3 linked regions of the Danio rerio genome follow. The protein of the gene in region 3 interacts with the protein of the main gene of each other region in a pairwise test. Links are inferred from orthologs where the notes say so. Each region holds a gene or a part of one and is shown on either strand. Other genes may lie near its edges.

Region 1 (5,176 bases), on a different chromosome or scaffold from region 3:
TGCTGAAACAAAGGGGTTTCTTGGGACTTTAAAATGGGTATGGACCTATATAGCAACTTTTTTTATATAACTGATAAGATATTGTGGAAAAAAGGTTGCCGTTCATGCAGTTTATCCAATCAGAAAGAGTGACACTGCAAATATGCAAGTTAGAACATTAACCCAGGATTTAGGAGTGTACAGTTTGAATCATCTGTTAACGATAGCCTAGAGTTACCTGAGGCTTAACAAAGGTGTAAAAGCCCTAATAACTATCAAAACGTTCTTTGAGAAAGCATTTTTTTGATGATTGAATTTTAGGTATTCCAACAAAAACAGCTTCCCTGGTAAATACTGGAAAAGCTATCAAACCTGTACTTGGATCTGCTGTTCAGATGCCTGATGCACAGCTGCAGCCAGCTGGGGTGAGATCTGTGTCGATGTCACCTGAACCTGCACAAAGATAAAGCAGAAATAATACTTTTAACAATCTAATGCTTTTCACATCTTATCTCAGAGCTAAAATGCCCATAGAAGTGTCCCTACCGGACATGCCAGCTCCAGCAATGAGCCCGCCACCTCTGTGCTGTCCGTGTAGATGCAGTTGGCACCCTGTTGGTACACCATTGTGGTTGTGGTGCCGCTGGTCTGCTGGCTGAACTCCTGCAACACCTCTGGGCCTTTGGAGGCCAGCGACTCCAGGAACTCTTTCATGCGGTGCTGAGGTATAGTGCGCGCCTTCTGCCGCACATACTCGTCGAACGAGATCGCACCGCCTTCAATGGGCTCATTCATGACAGGTCAGTCCACCCTGTACAGGAGCCTAGAACACAAGCAAAGGGTATACGTTTACATTTACAAGACATGTTTATATTGTGCATTCTGGTCATTTATTTACACAACAGCAGCATTTGGGAGTTACCAAAGATACCATTATTGTCTTTGTGTAAACTCTAAAAATGAACAAACTATTATAAAACACACATGCATGTTATGTGTTCAGTCTTTGGATTTGTTAGTACTTGTCTAACCAAAACAAAGATGACAAATTTAACTAATGGCTGTGTGCAGGGCTGTAGTGTTTCTATACGAGGTGACATTGCCAATTACTAGCCTGGCCTGCATTACAGTGTTTGTAGTAGGGATGTAACGATTCACCGTGAGTCGGTTGAAAATCAATTCAAATATGTGACGATTCAAATCGGTAGACATGTTGAATGAATGGTTACATTTTTTGAACAGTGGGGGCGCTCTTTACAGGTGCAAACTTACTTTACCTGCACATCAGCGCCGAGCAATCGGTGGGACGAAACACAAAGTGTGAGCAAATATTGCAAAAAGACGTGTACTAATAGAACGACTGTCACAGATGTCTATATGAAAAAATTATGCTTTGCAGCTTTGAATGCTATGGCGATCACTGTGCATCAGTGTTTTATAGCGAAAATGAGAAGATGTTTTTTTTTTACTTCTTTAGTTTGTATTATTCTTTATTTTTTTCATTTGTTTTTAGCAATTTAGTTATGGCAGAAAATTTATTATTTTACAAAAAATGTGCAGCATTTAAGAAAAAAACGAAAGGGCACTTCACCTTCAATTTGTTTAATTTTTTTTTAAATTGTGACTATATCGTAAATCATGAGATTAGTATTGTGAATGGTATGAATTGTTACATCCCTAGTCATTAGTCATTTTTGTAAATGTAAATAGGCAGAGTTATAATGACGCTGTATTCTCCAGGCAAAATATGTTAAAAACAAAGGAAATCGGTTTTCGTTTTTTTACGTTCTTGAAACATAAACCCTTGGAGACTGCACAAAATAAACTTGTTTTATTGTAATATACAAATATGCTTATATGCATAATTTGCAATACATTGATGCATGCATGTATCCGTTTACATATAAAACAGCTCTGATTTCACATGCATAGATTTGCAATGTTCATTTGTGTTTTATTTTAAAGCTAACTAATAACATTAAAAATGAAAATAATTGTATTTATTTGCAAATAAAAATACATTAGGTAAATATAAAATATTCCATGTTTCAGGCTTGAAATATTAGGAAAAACCTATAGCATACAGTTAACTCTGAAGACTGTAAACCCAATCGCCCATAGCAGCTCGCTTCACATTGTTACATCAATCATTCAATAGAATCTCTGCACACAATGCAGATCTGGTTGAATTTTGAATAGCCAATCCTACAAACATGTGAATTATGCAAGCATTCTTTTAAAATGTACAGATAATTGCTTAAACTAAAGATTAAAGGTGTTTCATGTGATATTTTAGTGATGAAGAGCTCTGTATATGAAGCATTCAGACTGAAAGAGCCTCTAACCTTGCTGGACTTTGGACCCCTTGAAGCAAAATAAAAGAGCTGTATTGAGGCTCCTCTCGAATCACAAACCAAACCTTAATATGAACGATCACATAACATAAACGGTATTTGTGTGTTTGTAAACTCGCTTTGCTTACGGTAAATCAAGCAACGTTACTGGACCACTCAATGCTTTGCCCCGAAAATAAGCTAGCATTAATGCTAACGCGCTAACCTTTGTCAAGTGAAACTCCAAAACGCACAGAAGCGGGCGCAAGTAATCGCATTGGGATATTAAATACATTTTTGATATGCTGTTGTGTGGCATTAAGCATTATTCCCGCGGTAGATGTGGCATCGCGCGCGCAGATGTGGGGCTAACGTGAGCTCGCGTGCTAATCTTCCCATGCTACCTTAAATAAAAGCCAAAGCAATTTCCGCCAAAACACGCCGTTCAAAAAACAAAAACCCACTAAAGCTCAGCTAAAGCTGGCCGTGCACACGGCAAGTCCGGTTGCTTTGCTCTATCTCGGTATTTTTGCAGCGCAATGCATTTGTCAACATTTAAGAGCGATTTATGTCGTGACGTGTGCTTATTCTGCTACACACATAAATGAAAGCATTGAAAGCCCGATGCGGCCGGGCGCAAACATGTCCTACCGTAGTGGAAAACACACAAATGCGCTGCTTGGAAGGCTTGGATGGCCGTAATTGTGTTTTTTTTAATAATAATGTTTGCGATAGAGCTGACGGAAGTAGGCCTGCTGTGACAGCGCTAGACCCCGGGCTGTCCTGTAGCGTGAAGGCGGGGACGGAATCGCAGCTCCCCCTTCCGGCTCCACTGCTGCCGCAAGCACACTCACAATGGCATGAACGCAGAGCGCGGTTGCCAGATCACAACAAGAACACACCAACATATAATTTGGAATGCATTTTATTTTTAAGAGGTAAAATAAAAAATGTAGGAGAGGAATAAGAAATTTACAGGGTACATCAAAACATGCTATTCAATACTCAACCGAGAAATTGATGAATCTATTATCATGGATGATAAAAGCATAGTAATCTAATTATTATAATAAAACCATTGTTACACAAGCTGGAAATGCAGTATTTAATAACATTATGTATTGGAATTATAAACTATTCCAATAAATAAATACAAATATATTTATTTGTTCATTATATAAAGTGTGATTAATATTTTTATAGCTTTTAAAAATACATCAAATAATAAAATAAAAACAACCATATATATAATGATCACTGTGTAAAAGCGAGAAGCTAATTAAGTTAGTTTATCAAGTACTGTGTTGGTTGGTATCTTGGTTTATTGTTATTATGGTATTAATTTTGTTGTTGTCTGTGTTGGTAGATAACTAATTCAATAATAATATTTTTATTAATAAGAGCATAATAATAATCAACACATGCCGACAATGAAAATGAAGCAAAAACATTCCATGTAAATGAAAATGCAACACTTAATACAAGTATTTACTGAAATTCTAAATTAATAAGTGTTAGATTGAATTCATTAGCTTTTTTAACAATATGATGTTAATAATGATAATTATATTAATAGCATAATAATAATAATAATAATAATAACAATAATAATAATAATAATAATAACAACAACACCAATAAATATTTCAAATATAAGAACATAAACAATGTAAAACGTACCATAATAAAGATAAATGAACAATAAATAGCCATATACATTACCAAATGTCTTTAAACCAAAATATCCCACAGACACACGCAAACACACACAAATAGTGTGTGTCAGATAGCTAAATTCCATTATAAAGACATACATAGATTTCAGGGACCCGCAAAAGAGTGTTGGGGGTCTGTGTAAAAAAAAATAGTTTTTTACAAAAGAAGGGCGAGCGGTTGGGATCTACATATATGAGATTTATGTAAATAAAAAAGTATGAACAAGCAGCGACTGACAATAACAATAAGCCCCTGAAAACATCCACATTGCTTAAAATCTGCTGAAATGGCAACACCGGCGGAGCTCGTGAGCAGCTTGGCACGGGTGCGCGCGCTCGATGAGTGTGACACTTTATGTTAAACGGCTTCACTCTAACATAAAACACTTCAACCAGTCTGTCTATTCACATATTGCCAGTGTAGCCAATACATCACTGTGCCCAAATCCAATCTAAAACTTTGTTGTTTTCCCTCAGGGGTAAATTATAAGTAACATATGCATGTTTGTTTTTCATTGCTTACTCTCTGCACCACCTGCTGGATAGTTCTCTGTAAAATACTTTGCTATATTATTAATCACAATTAGACTATTCAAATAAAAGACAGACAGCAAATTCCTTTCTAAATCACTCTGAGCATTATAAATCTCACACTGTCATACTGAACGCAATAAAGAGACATTTACACGTATAAAGTGTATGTGATTTTAGCGTGCTTGTGCCTTTAAGCGGGGCTCTATCCGCTCCAGTCCGCCTTAAAGCGCTAGGCATGTGCCAGTGAGGGCCTCCCCCTGATCGCCCTGCAAAAGCCTGCCTGACTGAGCGCTTAAGGTGGACCGGCGGAGATGTGCGGAATCGTGCTTTATCACATCACTGTTATGAGTTCAGAAAGAGTTAATTCTCACGGTCTCTGTCTTAACCCCACAATGACCCTGTCCTATCATTTGGATAAACATATAGTATTCAGAAGCCATTTAATAATGAATTCACTCAATATATAATAGGAGCCCAGTTACCTCATTTGAACACATCTGATTCACATCTGCTTTTGATAGTAACTCAATAACTTTCAATAAGATACAAAAACCTTTTGTGAAGCTGCTTTCGAATAGTAACTTTTGTGGATATGCAAGTAATCTTAAACTGAAC
Region 2 (4,407 bases), on a different chromosome or scaffold from region 3:
CATGTCCTTCGACCAAATAAGAACAAAATACAATATCCTCAAAACACATTTCTTTAGATATTTACCGATCCGCAGTTTTATGATTTCTAATACAGTAGACTTTCCAACTTTACCTAGAGAAACATTACTTGACACCATTTTAAAAACCAACCCAGTTCTCAAAGGTATTATAGGTGTGATTTACTCTTTTATCTCCTCACAAAATCTAACTTCAGTACAAAGTCGAAACAATTAAAAAATGAACTTGAGTTGATTCCCTCAAAGGAAATTTGGCAAGACATTATATTTTATTATTATATTTATTGTATTTTAGGTGTATTACGGTAGGGGAAATCGTGAGTGAGGAAGCTGATCTCAGAAGCTCCAGGGAGTGAAATCTAAGAGAAATTAAGATTGTGAATAAAAATAAGAGTTATAAAACCTTCCTTTGGCTTAATTTCCACTGTTTTAGGTCTGTTTTAGATCTTGACTGAAAGAAGCTTTATTTTTATGATTTGTGTCATTGTGTCAGATTGCGCACCCAACATAGTAGGCTACCTAATATGGTGTGTATTTGGTATAGTATGTATATTTATTTATATATATATATATATATATTTATCGCAAAATTGTCCGCAAATTTCTATGAATTACCACCACACAATTACTAATTTTTGTCACTAAAAATAGAGAGACTAAGCACAACCCTGTTAGACCAGGGGCACAAAGCATATTTTTCCATCCTTAAAATAGCAAAAGTGGACTTAGACATGCCCTTGATGTTTTTGCACCATGACCTTTAGACTTTGCGCCTAGATCATTAAAATAGAGCCCATGGTGTTATTGAGGAGGGATATGAGAAAGGTTATGGAAAGGTTTGGTGGTCTTAGTGGGTTTAAGGGTGGGCTTAGGTGTAAGAGATGATCAACAGTATAAGTATAAATATATTTACAGAAATGATCATCATTTTTAAAATATAACTACACTGTAAAAACATCCATGTAGATAATAATTACACTGACCCAAAATGATTAACTGAAATGTAAGTACAAAGTAATTAAGGCCATACGATATAAAGCGGAACCAACATTTCAATAGGAATTGTTCTAGCTCAAATGCACTTAGTTATCACAAAGGTCATTTTAAGTCTTAAACATCCAATATTTGTAAATCTTACCCTCTGAGTTAAGAGTGATGAGCGTTACATTGTTGTTATTCTGAGGCTGGCCGCTGTTGGACACCGAATCGCTCGTTTCCGAACCACTTTCCTGATCATCCTGAATCTCCTCCTGAACTGGAACCTTCAGTACTATGGTTTTCTGTCTCCCTCGCCCTACAGTACTGCAACACAAAAATACAAAGAAGACTTACAGCGCTTTCAGATTAGCACTTTTGGTCCTCACTCGAATTCGTTTGACTTCAGAGTACGGTACGTTTAGAGGTTGTCGTTGGTACGGTTCGTGCAAACTCTGGTATGGTTCACTTCTGATTTGAATGCATTCGTACCAAATAACTGAAGTGAACCGCCAACTGTAAAACAAACTTTAGCACCCTTACACTGACAATTTTATGTGAAGAATGTGTATTATTTTACACTACTTTTTATTAACCAACATTTGCAAACAATAATACATTTCCTAATAAAAAATTTTGTTTATTTTTTTTGTTCATTCTCGTAAAAACATTAACTAAAATGAACCAATGGAACCTTGTTGTAAAGAGTTGCCAAAATATGAATGTGTAGTACTCACTTGCTGAGCAGATTTTCTAAAGAGTCTGATGTGCGTGGCGAAGTCTCCTCCGTCTTCGCCCTGTCTCCACTTACTATGACATTTGTCTGGGGAACAACACTAGGAAAAAAAAACTCACTGTTAGTGTCAAAATAAATAGTTGGCATGTCTTTGTGGAGTTTGCATGTTCTCGTGGGTTTCTCCATAGTCCAAAGACATGCGGTATAGGTGAATCAAATAAGCTAAATTGGCCGTAGTGTATGTGTGTGAATGCGAGAGTATATGAGTGTTTCCCAGTGATATGTTGCGGCTGGAAGGGCAACTGCTGTGTAAAACATATTCTGGATAAGTTGGTGGTTCATTCCACTGTGGCGACCCCTGAATAATAAAGGGACTAAGCCAAAAAGAAAATGAATGAATTAATGAATGAATGGGCAAAAACATTTTAAAAGTGTTGCAACCTTTTTTAAAAAAAGCCTGTTTTAATACTAATACTAATAATAATACAAAAATGAACAAATGCTTAATATGCAATGAAAACAAACTGGGACTTGTATTATGATCAGGGTCTCTGCAGATATCATAATGTCAAATTTAAGACCTTTTAAGACCTTTTTAAGACCATTAAGTATTAAATTTAACACCTATATCACAATATCAGAACACGCGAGAGAAAATGTAAAAGCACAAAATTAGGGCTAAAATAAAGTTATTTAAATTGAACAGTAGTAAGGTCAGGTTAAATGCACCATTGAACTACAGAAAAAACACATCTTAATGCAGATTTATACTTTCACCTGGCACCGCATCGCACAACTCACGAAACGGATTAAGGCTTTTGTACTTGACACGTTCACCATTGAGATATGTTTTTTTAAATGACAGGGGGCGGTCCAAAAGAACAGAAAGTAAAATCAGACGAATAAAAAGATAATCATTATCATTGAAGATGTTTTTGGGGGCCTCTTTTTTGTTTTAACAAACTTATCCCTCGGAGTTTTTCCAAAGTTTTACAAAAACTTTCCTCCTTTCCCATGGCTGTTGCAATTTCTAGCCAATAATTATTGGTCATTCTGGCAAGCAGAAATGTAACTGTGATAGAAAATAGGTAAAAACTTGATTAGGTATTATAGCTTACTGTACTATTCACTCTTTAAATAAATCCCACTATAAATCCTATTTTATCACTAAAATAAAGTGAACTAGTGTCTGCTGTACAGTGTTTTGTGAAGTACAGTAAAGTACTTCAATTACTCTGTTGTGGTAATACTATAGTTGCTATGGTAACACAACAAGTGTATTAAAAACAAACTACCCAGTGCTTTATTTATTTTTTTTTACAATATAAGGTATATTTTTCTAAAATTCACCACACTTTACAGTAGTAAAACTACACTGTATTTCATTTTATCAGTTCACTATTCTTAATACTACAGTATGCTGAAGCATCTCTGGAAAAGCACGAAAGGAGTCCGGCGGAGCGAGAGCAGATAATTTGCATGTGAGCAGCCAGTGTTTTGAGAGCTCGCAAGCAGTTTTGTCCATGAACAAAGGAAACCTGCGCGTGAGCAGAGATTCGCTCTCTCGTATTACAGCACTCCTGACTTATAAAACTGCGCTTGCGACATTTGTCAGTGAAATAACGGCATACTCTGCCAGCCAAAATCATGTCGCACGCACTCAAAGCGAACTTCCGCAAACACAGCGATGATGTCACATCCGCCGCGCGCACTGAGTTTAATATCAGAAAGCTGATTGGCTATCGCAAGTTGACTTTTTTTGTGGTTGTAATAAAGCAAATTACAATTGGACTAGTAAAATAAAGAACTACAAAACCCCAAAAACCTAGCAACAACAACAAAAAGAATTTAAATAAGCATTAGATGTAGCGTTACATGGACATCGCAAAAATAAGACCTGTGCAAAAATATTTAATACCTAGAACAGCGAATTTAAGACTTTTTAAAGCCATACATATCGATTTTTTAATTTAAGACTTTTAAGACCCCGCGGGGACCCTGTTGTCATTTATAACATATGTTGTACGCCGTAAAAACGGGCAGAAATAAAGAAAAAAATAAACAGAACCAACCATTTAATGAATGGTGCTGGTGTATAAATCACATGACCTATGGTCCACTTACCAGCGTACTTTGTCACAAGTCTGAGTGGCTCCGAATGGGGACCCGGACACCATGGGTACTTGAATCGTTGACTGGTTCTTGCCCATCACTGTGTCCAGTTTCTCCACTAAACCTCGACAGGTCACCTCAAGAACCTGCAGCTTTGCTTCCATACTGTCCAGCCGCTGGCAGATCGCCTGACTGATGGATATCAACATCGACTGGAGAAACAGAAATACAGAAATTGGTAAAATATCTAATTATATTTAATACCAGATGAAAATGTCATTTATTGATAGATGAGACCCACATAACCATCAAGATTTTTGCACACTGTTGAAGTGTGTGAAAAACTTACACCTGAGCAATTCATGTGACTTCATTCTCCATACAAGAGGCGTCTTTAAGCTGCCATCATTAAAAAAAGCCTTTTATATAAAGTATTTAACACGTTTTAGGCAAGGCAAGTTTATTTATATAGCACATTTCATACACAGTGGCAATTCAAAGTACTTTACATAAACAGGAATAAAAAACGACAAGTTTAGAACATAAAATGCAGACAATAAAAAATA
Region 3 (5,195 bases):
TTTGATTAAATTCTTTGAAAAGTTTTTTTCTGACAAGAATAATAAACTAGTTAAACTGACTAGTTAAAATAGTTAACATGTTGTTTTATTAGCCTTCTCTGGCTCTTGTTTTTTGAAGCCAGTCACTAGTTCTGTCTTCTGAATGAAAATAAAAATAAATAACTAATTAATAACAGGAATTATTACATAGATAGAAAACAATATAGTTTGAATCAGGCATTAAAAATCTAACTTTAAAAAGTTCAATTAAATTCTTATTCTTACCTATTTTAGTAGTGGTCCTGGTAGGCTGAGTAATGGTTGTAGAAGATACGATGGGTAGAGAACTGGCAGCTGTTGGGGTGACCGCGTTTGTGGTTCGAAAAGTGAGAGTAGCAGGGATCTGCACTGTGCTGAAAGTACTAGGCGTTTGGGCTCTGTTTACAACCGGAGCTCCAGCCCTTATTTGAGCAGGCTGGGTAATTATTTGGGTTGCTCCGATGGCTGGTTTGAAAATTTGTGTGCCAGGTGCTTAAAAAAGACATAAAGAAAACACTGTTAATTAATGCACAGAACTATAGCGTAAGACCATAACAAGAGCACACTGACATACCCTGGAGTAGAGTAATCGGTCGAACAGTTTGGCCTTGTTGGACATTCAGCACTAAACTCATTGGACCCTGGCCAGGCTGGATATTCTGGACAGGAAGACCCTGTATCAGATGAAAGGACGCACATAGATGAACACTTGTTGAGACAATGTGCTTTTGTTGAGTGATGTGCTGGAATCTATATGGTGAAATGGCAGCACCTGTGTGGTAAAGTAGATCGGCTGACTGTTGGTAACATTGGCAATAGATGTTCCAGGCAGGAGAACCTGTGACAGAGCCACAGTGCCCAGTCCACCTCCTCCTGGTGCCAAGATGACCGGCTGCCCTTGCACTGCTTTAGGGATCTCAGTCGGCACAACCGCACGTTGAGTTACTGAAAAAATAAATGACTGATCACCAAGAGTAATGCAGGCTGAATGTCAACAAGACTGCATCCATCTACTACTTTAGTAGTTGATATGACTTTTGCGCTCCCCTTCTAAGGATATTTACACAACAACAATGTACTGAAAAGTTTCTATTCGCTACAAATTTTGAGAAAATATGAGAAAACATTAGAAAACGGTTTGCAAAAGTTCGAATTTTGATGATTTTAATGATTTTAAAACAATTGCAATAAACACTCGCTGGCCACTTTATTACGTACATCTGTCCAACTGCTCGATAACACAAATTTCTAATCAGCCAATCACATGGCAGAAACTCATTGCATTTAGGCATGTAGACATGGTCAAGACGATCTGCTACACTTCAAACCGAGCATCAGAATGGGGAATAAAAAGGTGAATTTAGTGACTTTGAACGTGTCATGGTTGTTTGTGCCAGACGGGCTGGTCTGAGTATTTTAGAAACTGCTGATCTACCAGGATTTTCACACACAACCATCTTCTGGTGGCTACTTCCAGCAGGATAATGTGCCACGTCATAAAGCGCGAATCATCTCAAACTGAATCCTTGAACAATGAGTTCATTGTACTTAAATGGCCTCCACAGTCACCAGATTTCAATCCAATAGAGCACCTTTGGGATGTGGTGGAACAGGAGATTCGCATCATGAATGTGCAGCCGACAAATCTGCAGCAACTGTGTGATGTTATCATGTCAATATGGACCAAAATCTCTGAGGAATATTTCCAGTACCTTGATGAATCTATGCCATGAAGGATTAAGGCAGTTCTGAGGGCAAAAGGGAGTCCAACTCGGTACTAGTAAGGTGTACCTAATAAAGTGGCAGGTGAGTATATAGCACACAAATCATAAAAAACAATTTTATTCTTCATTTAACTCATAATTAAAAGAATTGTGTTTTTTTGTCATTTGCATTTCTTTAAAACAAGTCTTTTTTGTTGTTATTTTGAAGTGTCTGAACTCTATCCCCAGTTTGCTTCTCTTAAATTAAACAAACAGGTGATTCTTCCTAACTTAATTTGTGTTCTGGAGCATCATGTGAATGAGTAAATAATTATTAAAGAAAAGGAGACTCACTTGTATTTGTGATCAGCGGAACCGTGTTCGCCGCATTTACTACAGACGTTAGGCTTGGGATCACCATGGTCTTAGGCGGAGCTGGAACATCAACCACCGGGGCTGGAGTGGAAGTGACTTAACATTGGAGGACGACAAGTTTCAGATGTTATAATGATGTTAAAATTATTATTAAAGTAAAATATATATATTTCTGGAATATCTATAATTAACAAAAGTTAAGAAGATAATTAAAAACTATGTTAAATTTCTCTATAATTAAAAATATTACAAAAATACACACCGGAGGGAGTACTGCTTTCAGCATTTCCGGCTGGTTCATCCATAGACTGCTGTTGCCATGGCTCCAGCTCCTCCTCCTCACACTCCATAAACAAATCCGAATCCATGTTTCTGAAAGAAAGTAAACGTGTTTAAAATCTACAAACTGTGAGGGTACAAATGACAATTGGTGCATTATGTATTCATAAATCAAAAACATGTTTCATTTTAAATTAGACAAGTGAAAAATATTTTTGAACTGAAGACCCTCACCTTCTGACAGGAATCGGGTCCGACCAGTTTTAACGTCAAGACTGGCGTTTACAAAATCCCTTCATCCTGTAAATTATACAAATAAGTATATGAATAAAACATGAATAGTAGTACATTTTGTATTTATATACATTTAAAACAAACAAAAAAAAATCCTGCATTAATGGGGTTAACATCGGATATTCAGAGCGCTGCCGCATCACTTCCTAAAAATCTCCCAAAAAAGTGTGATTTCATCTAACCGACAGGGGCGAAGAGAAAAGTAGTTCCTGGTCACCGATATGCACTGGCTGAGACCAGATGATCTGACTGATAGAAGCAAAAGCATGAGCCTTGGATGTGTGTACAATAACAGAAAATAGGGCTGAAATACAAACTGGGTCGGAACAGGACTCAGCGCTGTGTCTATCACAAAAACTCAGTCACAAATAATGCAGCAACCCCTCGCGCGTCGCCTACTGAGTGCGCACTCCGCATACTGTCCTCCGCGCACATAACGAAAGACGGCCATCTAACGCGTGAATTAAAGCGCGTATTTGTAAAAAAAATACTTACCAGATTATAGTCTATATAGAAATATATTCAACGTGATATATTGAAAGAACACAAAGCCTGCCGGTACGTCACAGACGAGACGAATAAATGCGCTAAATGGGCAGAGGTTCTGTTTTTTCTCCTGCTGCGATTGGTTGATACGCTCAAAACGCCACTTCCTGTTTTGAATTCGCAACGCTGATTGGCTGTAATCTCTGAAATAAGGAGGAGTGGTTACTGGAACAAGAAAATGGCGTCCTTCTCGACAAACGACAACATTTTATACGGTCTAGCCAACTGCTGGTTTAATAAAGAAATGATTTAATTATTCAACACACTGTTAGTATTTTGAGGAGGACCTGTCAAAACCATCACAAACTGTCTTTTCTTAAATCAATTTATGATTTTGAAAAATTGCTCACACAAAATATCTATTATATAAAATTATTTGCTTAAATATTCATATTTTAGCCCTGGTATGCACAATGCACTGATAAATGAAATAAGTGTAATTTTTTAGAAAACGTTCAGTTTAAAAAAATTCTGGAACCGATCACGACATCCGGTTTCATTATGGCTCTGAACGCGGGTTCATCCGCCAATGTGGACAGAACAGCACACTGCAGAGTTCACCGCACTTTTCAGAACAACCGAGAACACAGCACGAATCAGGCAGGACCACTGGTCCGATTCAAAATCAAACGACTCTTATGACTCGGTTCTTTTAGTGAATCAAAAACATTCAAAAGTTCAGTCCATACACACACAATCGTTTGTTCGACTATATATATATATATATATATATATATATATATATATATATATATATATATATATATATATATATATATATATATATATATATATATATAGTCGAAGTAACGACTGGTTTAAACCGATTGCTTTAGTTAATTGTACATTATGAATCAGAAAGTCTGAAAGTTATCATAAAGACATCGAATGTAAATTAAAGCTGCATTCTTTAATTCAAAATATCCACAGCACAATAGAAGTTTTACCATTTATATAAGTAGAATATGCCCTGAATATCCTACTAAATTTAAGCTACAATCTGACAACTAATCATTTCTTAATTGTGCCGAGATAAACGTTTCATAATAAACGTTTCATAACCAGTCGAAGCGCAGAGCAGGTAAGCTTCTGTTTAAGTTGCTTAAGTCAAGCCCTATATATAGCATTGTGCACAGAGAGGACACAACGTGAGCGTGTTTTCTTCATGTTGTTTACTTCTGCATGCGAGATGAAGGATCCGGGCACATCATCTGACGGAGTGAACTATGGCGCTGTCCTCGCGCTGCTGGTGATCAGTGAGTAACGTTTTTTAGTACTTTCAGAAGTTTTATTATAATCTTATTTTAATATAAAAAATGGGTCTGGTCCCAAAACTTCTACTGCATCACAATTTAAGGCCCTGAAATGTTAATTAATTAATTAAATCTTTAATGGCATTAAATGCATGCACTACAACAATTAATGAATATTTCATTATTTTATATTTAAATCAGTGTTCATTTTATGCAAACCAACTATAGTTTTACATTTATACAAATATAAATATTATAATTATTATTTAATAATACTTTATTTTAGTAAATTGGAGTTAATCATGTTTTTCTGTAAGTTTGTAACACATTTTTAATGCAAGTATAGCTGTAAAACCATGTTTTTATACGCACACGCACGCACACACACACACACACACACACACACATGCACACACACACACATACACACACACACACACACACATAGAGGTGAACAAGTTGGGTAAACTTTCAATTTAAAATTTGCCTTCATAAGGCCTGCTGAAACTATACAGAAACTAAATAACAGTTTATTATCAATCTATTTATTATTAATTTGATATAATCTATTTATTTTTGTTATTCAGGTTATTATGATTTCTAAAAGACAAGTGACAGTAAAGATTTTCCATTGCAATTAAAAATTTGATAAAATGTTATTTGAATTTTTACCATTATTTCACAATTATAAGTTTTTATGTTATAATGTGTTTTGTTATTTTCTATT

What was found.
Region 1: the proteins of pogzb (region 3) and qrich1 interact in binary tests that used the Homo sapiens proteins (3 or more experiments, as listed by UniProt). The two-hybrid records come from large-scale screens. The link is inferred for Danio rerio from reciprocal best matches to the Homo sapiens genes POGZ and QRICH1.
Region 2: the proteins of pogzb (region 3) and banp interact in binary tests that used the Homo sapiens proteins (3 or more experiments, as listed by UniProt). The two-hybrid records come from large-scale screens. The link is inferred for Danio rerio from reciprocal best matches to the Homo sapiens genes POGZ and BANP.

What each region holds. Positions count from the first base shown.
Region 1 is NC_133186.1:20,149,360-20,154,535, forward strand, and holds the start of qrich1 (glutamine-rich protein 1), read right to left. Parts: upstream 3,034-5,176; 5' UTR 2,964-3,033; exon of another isoform or gene 2,325-2,963; intron 803-2,324; 5' UTR 775-802; coding exon 526-774; intron 433-525; coding exon 352-432; intron 1-351. UniProt on the Homo sapiens protein: Transcriptional regulator that acts as a mediator of the integrated stress response (ISR) through transcriptional control of protein homeostasis under conditions of ER stress.
Region 2 is NC_133200.1:32,863,672-32,868,078, reverse strand, and holds part of banp (protein BANP), read right to left. Parts: intron 4,054-4,407; coding exon 3,854-4,053; intron 1,830-3,853; coding exon 1,731-1,829; intron 1,321-1,730; coding exon 1,157-1,320; intron 1-1,156. UniProt on the Homo sapiens protein: Controls V(D)J recombination during T-cell development by repressing T-cell receptor (TCR) beta enhancer function. Binds to scaffold/matrix attachment region beta (S/MARbeta), an ATC-rich DNA sequence located upstream of the TCR beta enhancer.
Region 3 is NC_133191.1:42,522,338-42,527,532, reverse strand, and holds the start of pogzb (uncharacterized protein LOC561483), read right to left. Parts: upstream 3,226-5,195; 5' UTR 3,165-3,225; exon of another isoform or gene 2,852-3,164; intron 2,676-2,851; 5' UTR 2,610-2,675; intron 2,469-2,609; 5' UTR 2,465-2,468; coding exon 2,359-2,464; intron 2,193-2,358; coding exon 2,076-2,192; intron 964-2,075; coding exon 791-963; intron 693-790; coding exon 593-692; intron 511-592; coding exon 265-510; intron 1-264. Other genes in the region: si:dkey-23o4.6 (retinol dehydrogenase 12), read left to right, coding at 4,381-4,471. UniProt on the Homo sapiens protein: Plays a role in mitotic cell cycle progression and is involved in kinetochore assembly and mitotic sister chromatid cohesion.